Linked DNA regions of Xenopus tropicalis. The protein of the gene in region 2 binds, or shares a complex with, the protein of the main gene of each other region. Links are inferred from orthologs where the notes say so. Each region holds a gene or a part of one and is shown on either strand. Other genes may lie near its edges. The genes, in order: bicdl1 and bicd2.

What was found.
Region 1: bicd2 (region 2) and bicdl1 share a complex: the UniProt entries of both Homo sapiens proteins name them as parts of the tripartite complex. The link is inferred for Xenopus tropicalis from reciprocal best matches to the Homo sapiens genes BICD2 and BICDL1.

Annotation. Positions count from the first base shown.
Region 1 is NC_030677.2:151,457,027-151,461,573, forward strand, and holds the start of bicdl1 (BICD family-like cargo adapter 1), read left to right. Parts: upstream 1-1,463; 5' UTR 1,464-1,687; coding exon 1,688-2,005; intron 2,006-4,547. UniProt on the Homo sapiens protein: Acts as an adapter protein linking the dynein motor complex to various cargos and converts dynein from a non-processive to a highly processive motor in the presence of dynactin.
Region 2 is NC_030680.2:150,841,968-150,846,471, reverse strand, and holds the start of bicd2 (protein bicaudal D homolog 2), read right to left. Parts: upstream 3,026-4,504; 5' UTR 2,809-3,025; coding exon 2,566-2,808; intron 1-2,565. UniProt on the Homo sapiens protein: Acts as an adapter protein linking the dynein motor complex to various cargos and converts dynein from a non-processive to a highly processive motor in the presence of dynactin.

The DNA.
Region 1 (4,547 bases), on a different chromosome or scaffold from region 2:
AGCCTGGTTTTTGGGTCCAGGCAAATACTAAATTATACGTGTGTGTGTAGACGCACACACACACTTCGATTGTGCAGAAAACGTGCAGATCTTTCAGCAGCAGTTCCCAAACTGTAGAGCTTCCATAGATGCAGCCGGAATCTCATTTAAATTTGGTGGAAAATAATATTTGCTTTTCTAGATACTCTTGAAAGCCTTATGTTAAGGTCAGTATCTTCCCAAGATATTCTTGGAACAGAATCTCTCCTACAGCAATGTCTGTAACCTTGTTCGATCTCAGAGGTAACCCATGCCAAACTGGCTTTGAAGGGAAAATTGTAAAATTATTTTCCCCAATAATTTCTTTATTCGAAGAGAAATTTAATTGGATGATGTTAAAATTATTATTATTTTTGTAGTCATCTAACTAGACTGTAGTTCATCTTACACAAAAAATACTATTATCTACTTCCTAAAAAGTACATTTATTTCTAGAGGACGCCTTACCGTATGGGTCTGCAGGTGCTAAAATTATGACTGGAATATCTGAGAAATCCTAAATGATTCTAGTGAATTCTCTGATGTGTGCGTTTTAGTTGAACATCTTTTTCTGACTTGTCCAACACGTAGTTCTATTTCCTCCCAAGCAGCAGTCTCCCCATAAGTTAACCTTAGGGGTTTGAGCTCCAGCCTGGAACGGAGGGTGGGATAAGGAGCTCCTACTCTCATCGTGCAAGATATTTCATCCAATCCCGGCGCCCAACAAGACCGGTGCTTGTGACGTCACGCAGTGTGCGCACGCATTCCTAGGGTCCTTGCAGAGATGGGTGAGGGGGAGCTGAGCGCTGAGGGGCGAGGAGAGAGCAGCGCAGCCCGGGGCCTTCGGGGCCGGACCCACTCATATTAAGCTCACTAGTACGGGGAGCGGGGGGAGGGGGTTGGGGTCTGTGAGGCTTTGCGGGGGGTTGATAGAAGACATATCCAATCAGTCACTGTAGCCGGTAGCGCGGGGGTGCTTGCCTTTGCGTAGTTGGTTTAGCGGCAGTGCGGCTGTTTGCATGTGTTTGTACATAGTACATTGATGCCGTGGGGCAGTGTTACAATCTGTACGTGTAGGCTGGGGCAGTTGTCGCGGGTTGGCTAGGGGCCGTGACAGTTTTAGGGACCCAGTCATCACTTCGGGAGGGGTGAGTATCCGACACATGGGGGGATCTGTGGGCAGATTTCCAGACTGGCTTGCGTTACACCCAGCCTGGCGTTCTTCTGTGCCACTGAGGGTGTTTGGGCAGGTAACGCTTGTGGTGGATGTCAGACAGCTGCTAATCCCCCACTTAAGCACTGAGCCAGTGTAAGGCCCTTTAGCCGGCTCACCGGGATTGTACGAGTCCTGAGCCAGCTGCTGTGTTTCATGACATATAAGTCGTACCTTGGTTAGAGGGATTTTGCTTCCACAGTGTAGGGAGGGGGGGCTGGATTTGGTGACAGGTTGTGCTTAGCGGGGTTGCAGTTGTACGGGCTTGGCAGCAGCAGCACATGGTAGAATTGGCTGGGGCGGTAAAGCCATGCTATAAACAGTGCTGTTTAGCGGAGGTGTTTCGGCTGGCTGCGTAGGCTTTCACGCTGGGTGCCGGGGCCCTGGGCTTGGTGTGTGAAGGTAGCACAGTCCGAAGCTCCCCGCTTCAGCACCATTGGCTCCGGACAGCGCCCCATGGAGCTTCCTATCAGCTTCCTGTCAGACAGCAGCCGCCCTGCAGCCTCCTCGGAGCGGGGAGATCAGGCAGCTTTGGGGCGGGGGGAGCTAGAGTTTGATGAGGAGCTGGTGTTTCTGGCAGCTGAAGGAGAGGGGGACCCTGAAGAAATTGAGGGCCCGGAGGTGAGGGAACAGTCGGAACTTCTGTGCATCATAAGGCAGAAGGAGAAGGATCTGGTGCTGGCAGCCAGGCTGGGAAAGGCGCTGCTAGAGAGAAATCAGGACATGAGCAGGCGCTATGAGGAGATGCAGAGAGAGATGACCGACAAGCTGGAGGTAAGGACATTAAAACATAGCACAGCAGTTTACATATAAGCTATAACTTACCACTGATAAGATCCCAAAGATCCCATGTAAAGGGCTTTAGACATACAGCCAGATTCAGTTCAATGAGAAAAAGTTATCTCGTGATTTATTACATGAAAACTTTCCTCCTATTTCAAATCCAGTTTTTTTTTTCTATTGACTTCAATAGAGTTATCACATGATAAACCATGAGATAAGTGTTTCTGAATTGAAGGGTAGCAGATATCGTCTGTAAGATGCTAGGCACGTAGTTTCCCATGGATCTCCAGTGTCTGAAAAGGTGAGCATATTATAGGGCATATTTATCAAAATGTGAGTTGAGAGCTTAAATTATACAGGGATCGTCAACCTTTTTTTACCCATGGGCTACATTCAAATGTAAAAAGAGTTGGGGAGCAACACAAGCATGAAAAAGGTGCCTGATGGGGCCAAATAAGGGCTATGATTGGCTATTTGGAAGAGCCTATGTGGACTGGCAGCCTAAAGAAGGCTCTGTTTGGCTTTACACTGGGTTTTATGCCACCAAAACTTGCCTCCAAGCCAAGTAATCGAAAAATAAACACCTGCTTTGAGGCCAACATCCAAGGGGTTGGTGAGCAACATGTTGCTCACAAGCTACTGGTTGGGGATCACTGGCTTAATATGTAAAAAATTCACCCACATTCTATTCTTTCCTTTGCGTTTTTAAGTGTACTTATCGAATAGCGAGTTTAAACTTTCACCCATTGATAAATACACTTCTAAAAAGCCAATAAGACTGGCTTTGGCCAGAAGTACAACATAACGCAGGAAAATTGCTGGCTGAGCTTTCACAGAAATTTACAAGGAGTTGGTCCTGGTAAAAAATATGCTTTGAGTGAGATCTAAACCACAATATCTTTTTAAGCAGTCACAGCACTGTGCAGTCTCAAAAATGTAAGAATATTACTGAGGCAATCAGAGCCTTTATCAGGAGATACTTTCCTAATATAATTTTATAACAGTTGCTCTTCCATTCTTCTCTTATGGGTAATATTCACCTGGCTGCCTCCTCAATATAGGCCTAGATAATTTCCAAAATGAAAAGGGGGTGCTGGGGGTGAGTAGGAGAGGAAAGACCTACTGAATTGTCATAGACATTCAAAATATGTGATGACAAAGGGAATTAGTGTTTGCAATAAACTACATTTAATTTAAGTAATCAAGGTAACATAAATAAGTTAGCTTCCAATGAATTTATCAATTGCTTCCAATTAAAATTGACATTTAAATGCTGAATTATGAGTGGAAAAGCAGAAGGTAGCCAAAAGGGAAGATGTCTGGTCACCAGAAGCTGCAGCAAGTTGAAATACTTTTCTTACCAGCTGCTAATTAAACTGAATCTTAATGCACTAACATACAGGTCTACATCTGGTGTATTATTAAGCACTGTGTTTTTTTTATTAGCACAAAAACACAACACTAAAACACATCATATTTAACTATTTGACTGAATGCATCTATTGTAGCCTAGGCTTTGCCTGTAGCCCTCTCCCACTCTCATTGTATAGTTAATAAATGTCCTTCAGATGGCATAATGTTTGCAAAACATAGTAGCCTTCCTGTTGTGTGATTGCTTTGTTACAAGTGTAACAACTCATGGCCAGGAAAGCGCATTTTACAGCTCTTTTAGCCTATATAGAACTTTAACGTTTTGTTATAGCAAACTTTGTTAAATTGTTTGTTGCCCTGTTGATAATTATGTCCCATAGTGTACTATGTACTCTAAGCAGTATATGTTAGGGCTGTAGACACCTGCTGTCCAACATCTTGTTCTAAAACTAAGGGTATTAATATGGATTTGGTCATTCTTTTGCTGCTCTAAGAGTCTTCACTCTTCTGCAAAGGCTTTACAATAGCTGTTTGGAATATTATTAGGATTTTCCTCCATTTAGTCAATACAGCATTAGTACAGTTGGTTACTGATGTTGAGTAATCTATCGTAGCTCACAGTCAATATTCCAATTCATGTCACACTTGTTTGGTTGGGTTTCTGTCGGGGTTCTGTGTAGGCCACTCTGCAAACCAGTTATGTACAGAGCTCACATTGTGCATGTAGGTATTATTCTCCTGAAACAGAAAGGGCCCTACCCACATTTGCCACAAGGTAGGAAGCACATAATTGCCATAAATATAATGGTATGCTATAGAATTTAATGTCTGCTTACACTGTAAGAGAGGCCCTAGGCCAAACATGAAAAGGAATCCTATCCCCCATCCTCTTCTACAAGCAATTGTAACTGGCATAACACATTCAGGCAAGAAGAGCTTTCCTCAGAGTAGCTGTAATAAATTGTGTAACGCGCCTGTCTACCAATACTGCCAACCAGCTAAAACCTTTTTACAGAAAGCCCTGCCCTTTCTTATCAGGCCAGGCCCCCTGAACCAGCAGGGCCTGTGACAAGAGTTCTGCCTGTTCACCTTCAATGGCAGTGAACTTGTTTCCTCTGCTCCATAATCCCAGTGTAGTGACCTTTACACCACTCCAGGCAAT
Region 2 (4,504 bases):
CGGGCACACTGGGCATCAGGCAGGTAACGAGACCAGAATGGGTGCAGGAGGGTCAGTCATTGGCAGGAAAGTTGGCCAGTTGGTAGGAGAAAGTCTTTACAGCGCCAGTTAAATGGGCCGGCCTGTTGGTACCAGAAGCGGCAGAGATAATCCATTCTTTAGAAGCTCCGTGCCCGCTGAGTTGACAGGAGGGTTATGCCCACAATACCAGGGGGCAGTGTTTGGGCCACAGGCAGGGGGCAGTGTTTGGGCCACAGGCAGGGGCAGTATCTGAGAACAATCCTTGCAGAGTAACTGGCAGAGCCTGGGCACAATATTGGCACCTACCGTTTGGCAGGATTTGGTACCCCCAACAGTCTGAACCCCCAGTTAGCCATAATTAGCCCCCACAGCTGGCACAGCCCCCCCTGACTGGCAATAGCTGACACAATGTACCCCGTTTAGCAGTAACTGGAGAGGCAGACAGGGACCTGTCACCTGAAGCCACTGGGCATCCAAATTACCCCCCCCCCCAGCGGTGCATCTCCCTTTCCCAATAACGGCCCCAGCGGTGCATCTCCCTTTCCCAATAACTGCCCCAGCGGTCCATCTCCCTTTCCCAATAACTGCCCCAGCGGTCCATCTCCCTTTCCCAATAACTGCCCCAGCGGTCCATCTCCCTTTCCCAATAACTGCCCCAGCGGTCCATCTCCCTTTCCCAATAACTGCCCCAGCGGTCCATCTCCCTTTCCCAATAACTGCCCCAGCGGTCCATCTCCCTTTCCCAATAACTGCCCCAGCGGTCCATCTCCCTTTCCCAATAACTGCCCCAGCGGTCCATCTCCCTTTCCCAATAACTGCCCCAGCGGTCCATCTCCCTTTCCCAATAACTGCCCCAGCGGTGCATTTCCCTTTCCCAATAACTGCCCCAGCGGTCCATCTCCCTTTCCCAATAACTGCCCCAGCGGTGCATTTCCCTTTCCCAATAACTGCCCCAGCGGTCCATCTCCCTTTCCCAATAACTGCCCCAGCGGTCCATCTCCCTTTCCCAATAACTGCCCCAGCGGTCCATCTCCCTTTCCCAATAACTGCCCCAGCGGTCCATCTCCCTTTCCCAATAACTGCCCCAGCGGTGCATTTCCCTTTCCCAATAACTGCCCCAGGATACCCTTCTCCCTTTCCCAATAACTGCCCCAGGATACCCTTCTCCCTTTCCCAGTAACTGCCCCAGGATACCCTTCTCCCTTTCCCAATAACTGCCCCAGGATACCCTTCTCCCTTTCCCAATAACTGCCCCAGGATACCCTTCTCCCTTTCCCAGTAACTGCCCCAGGATACCCTTCTCCCTTTCCCAATAACTGCCCCAGGATACCCTTCTCCCTTTCCCAATAACTGCCCCAGGATACCCTTCTCCCTTTCCCAATAACTGCCCCAGGATACCCTTCTCCCTTTCCCAATAACTGCCCCAGGATACCCTTCTCCCTTTCCCAATAACTGCCCCAGGATACCCTTCTCCCTTTCCCAGTAACTGCCCCAGGATACCCTTCTCCCTTTCCCAATAACTGCCCCAGGATACCCTTCTCCCTTTCCCAGTAACTGCCCCAGGATACCCTTCTCCCTTTCCCAGTAACTGCCCCAGGATACCCTTCTCCCTTTCCCAATAACTGCCCCAGGATACCCTTCTCCCTTTCCCAATAACTGCCCCAGGATACCCTTCTCCCTTTCCCAGTAACTGCCCCAGGATACCCTTCTCCCTTTCCCAGTAACTGCCCCAGGATACCCTTCTCCCTTTCCCAATAACTGCCCCAGGATACCCTTCTCCCTTTCCCAGTAACTGCCCCAGGATACCCTTCTCCCTTTCCCAGTAACTGCCCCAGGATACCCTTCTCCCTTTCCCAGTAACTGCCCCAGGATACCCTTCTCCCTTTCCCAATAACTGCCCCAGGATACCCTTCTCCCTTTCCCAGTAACTGCCCCAGGATACCCTTCTCCCTTTCCCAGTAACTGCCCCAGGATACCCTTCTCCCTTTCCCAATAACTGCCCCAGGATACCCTTCTCCCTTTCCCAGTAACTGCCCCAGGATACCCTTCTCCCTTTCCCAGTAACTGCCCCAGGATACCCTTCTCCCTTTCCCAGTAACTGCCCCAGGATACCCTTCTCCCTTTCCCAATAACTGCCCCAGGATACCCTTCTCCCTTTCCCAGTAACTGCCCCAGGATACCCTTCTCCCTTTCCCAGTAACTGCCCCAGGATACCCTTCTCCCTTTCCCAGTAACTGCCCCAGGATACCCTTCTCTCTTTCCCAGTAACTGCCCCAGGATACCCTTCTCCCTTTCCCAGTAACTGCCCCAGGATACCCTTCTCCCTTTCCCAGTAACTGCCCCAGGATACCCTTCTCCCTTTCCCAGTAACTGCCCCAGGATACCCTTCTCTCTTTCCCAGTAACTGCCCCAGGATACCCTTCTCCCTTTCCCAGTAACTGCCCCAGGATACCCTTCTCCCTGGGGGGGGGTACATTGTGCCCCTGCCAGTGGTTATTACCCCAGCAGGATACCCCCCAAGCCGGTTATTGCCCCAGGCGGTACCTCCTTGAGCTGCTCCAGTTCCTGCCGGGCGGTCTCACACTCCCCCTCCAGCTCCTCGTATTGCTGCTTCAGCTGCTGCTTCTCCTCCAGCACCGCCAGCCCGTACTCGGCCGCCTGGATCTTCTCCCGAGAGGTCTCCGCCAGCTCCCGTACCAGCCGCCGCACCTCCGCTCGTAGCCATTCGGGACCGGAGTCGAGCACCAGCCGCTCGTACTCCTCCTCCTCCGCCGCGTTCAGTGCCATGGTGCCCGGGCACAGCTCAGCCTGGCACCGATCCCCCCTCTCCAGCCCGGACTCCGCATTCCCCACTGCAGGCTGTGCGCAGGGAACGTCTGGCAATAGCGGGGGCGGATAGGGAGGGAGCAATCTGACAAGCACTGGGCGCAGCCTTCTTACGGGCACAGCGCTTTGCACACGGTCCCTAAGCTGGAGATGGGCAGTGCGCTTGCTCAGTAGCGCTGGAAAGTAGGGAGGCGGGGCCAAGATAAGGGCAAAACATCTGGGAAGTGGGGAAGGGTGGGGTGATTAAAGTGTCGGGGTAGGGGAGACCTAGCAGCAGGGTTTGCCGGGTTGGCGGGTTTTCCGCCAAATTACTACTAATTTAAAGCCCAGAAGGGTTTCCAAAGTACAAACCCGCCAAGGTACAAATTTGGGTTCGTTTTTGGCGCCTTGGCGGGTTTGTAGTTTGGAAACTAGCTAAAGTGTTTTCCCTCTGACATGTCTGTCCCAGTGCATGCTGGGTAATGTAGTTTGTATCTTTACTATTGGCCTACAGCTAGGCTGACTATAAAACTACAATACCCAGCATGCAATTATAGACAGCAGCTCCCTTTTCTATTCCTCTGCTGAATCTGAGGCATCAAAACTACAATAACCTGCAGGGACTGGGCCCAGAGAGCAGGGAAACAGCCATCCCAGTAACTGGGCCCAGAGAGCAGGGAAACAGCCATCCCAGTAACTGGGCCCAGAGAGCAGGGAAACAGCCATGCCAGTAACTGGGCCCAGAGAGCAGGGAAACAGCCATCCCAGTAACTGGGCCCAGAGAGCAGGGAAACAGCCATCCCAGTAACTGGGCCCAGAGAGCAGGGAAACAGCCATCCCAGTAACTGGGCCCAGAGAGCAGGGAAACAGCCATCCCAGTAACTGGGCCCAGAGAGCAGGGAAACAGCCATCCCAGTAACTGGGCCCAGAGAGCAGGGAAACAGCCATCCCAGTAACTGGGCCCAGAGAGCAGGGAAACAGCCATGCCAGTAACTGGGCAGTGATTATACGCTTTATAAAGGCAGCTTTTCCCATATATACTTTTATTTTCTAGAATTCTTTTTCATTGCACATATTGGGCTATATTTGGGCTACTTTCAAAGTGGCTTTTGGCTGGTTTTGGGCTGATTTTAGCACTGACTTTGGCTGGTTTGGGAAAATAAATCTGGCAGCCCGGCCTAGCAGGGAAAATGGAGCCCAGAAGATTCGGGCAGCCAAGTACGGACTGATTTGGTGCCACAATCCTTATTCCAGTCTGATACAGTAATGGCTCTGGGAGGCGCCCCCTGCTGGGCCTCAGTGACCTGTTTATGTTGGGGTGGGGGCTGGAATATCTTCATTAGGAAAATTTGGGGGTTAGGGGTCGGGAAAAAGTTTCTGCAGTTGCACAAATCCTGAAGCCCCTTGCAACAAGTGTAACAGATATCTGTGCTCAAGAGCTTGCACTCTAGCGCTGCTAAACCCCAAGGTGCCTGGGTGCTGCTGGGTACAAGTTAGTGAGGGTGACATAAAGAACTACCCCTTTAGACATTGGTTTGTGTGAGGTTAATATCATTCATAGAGTTGTTGTATTCTAGTCTGGTCAGCCAGGGGTTAAAGGGTTGGTCACCTTTGAGTTAACTTTTAGTATGATGTAGAGAGTGATATTCTGAGACAATTTGCAGTTGGTCTGTTTTTA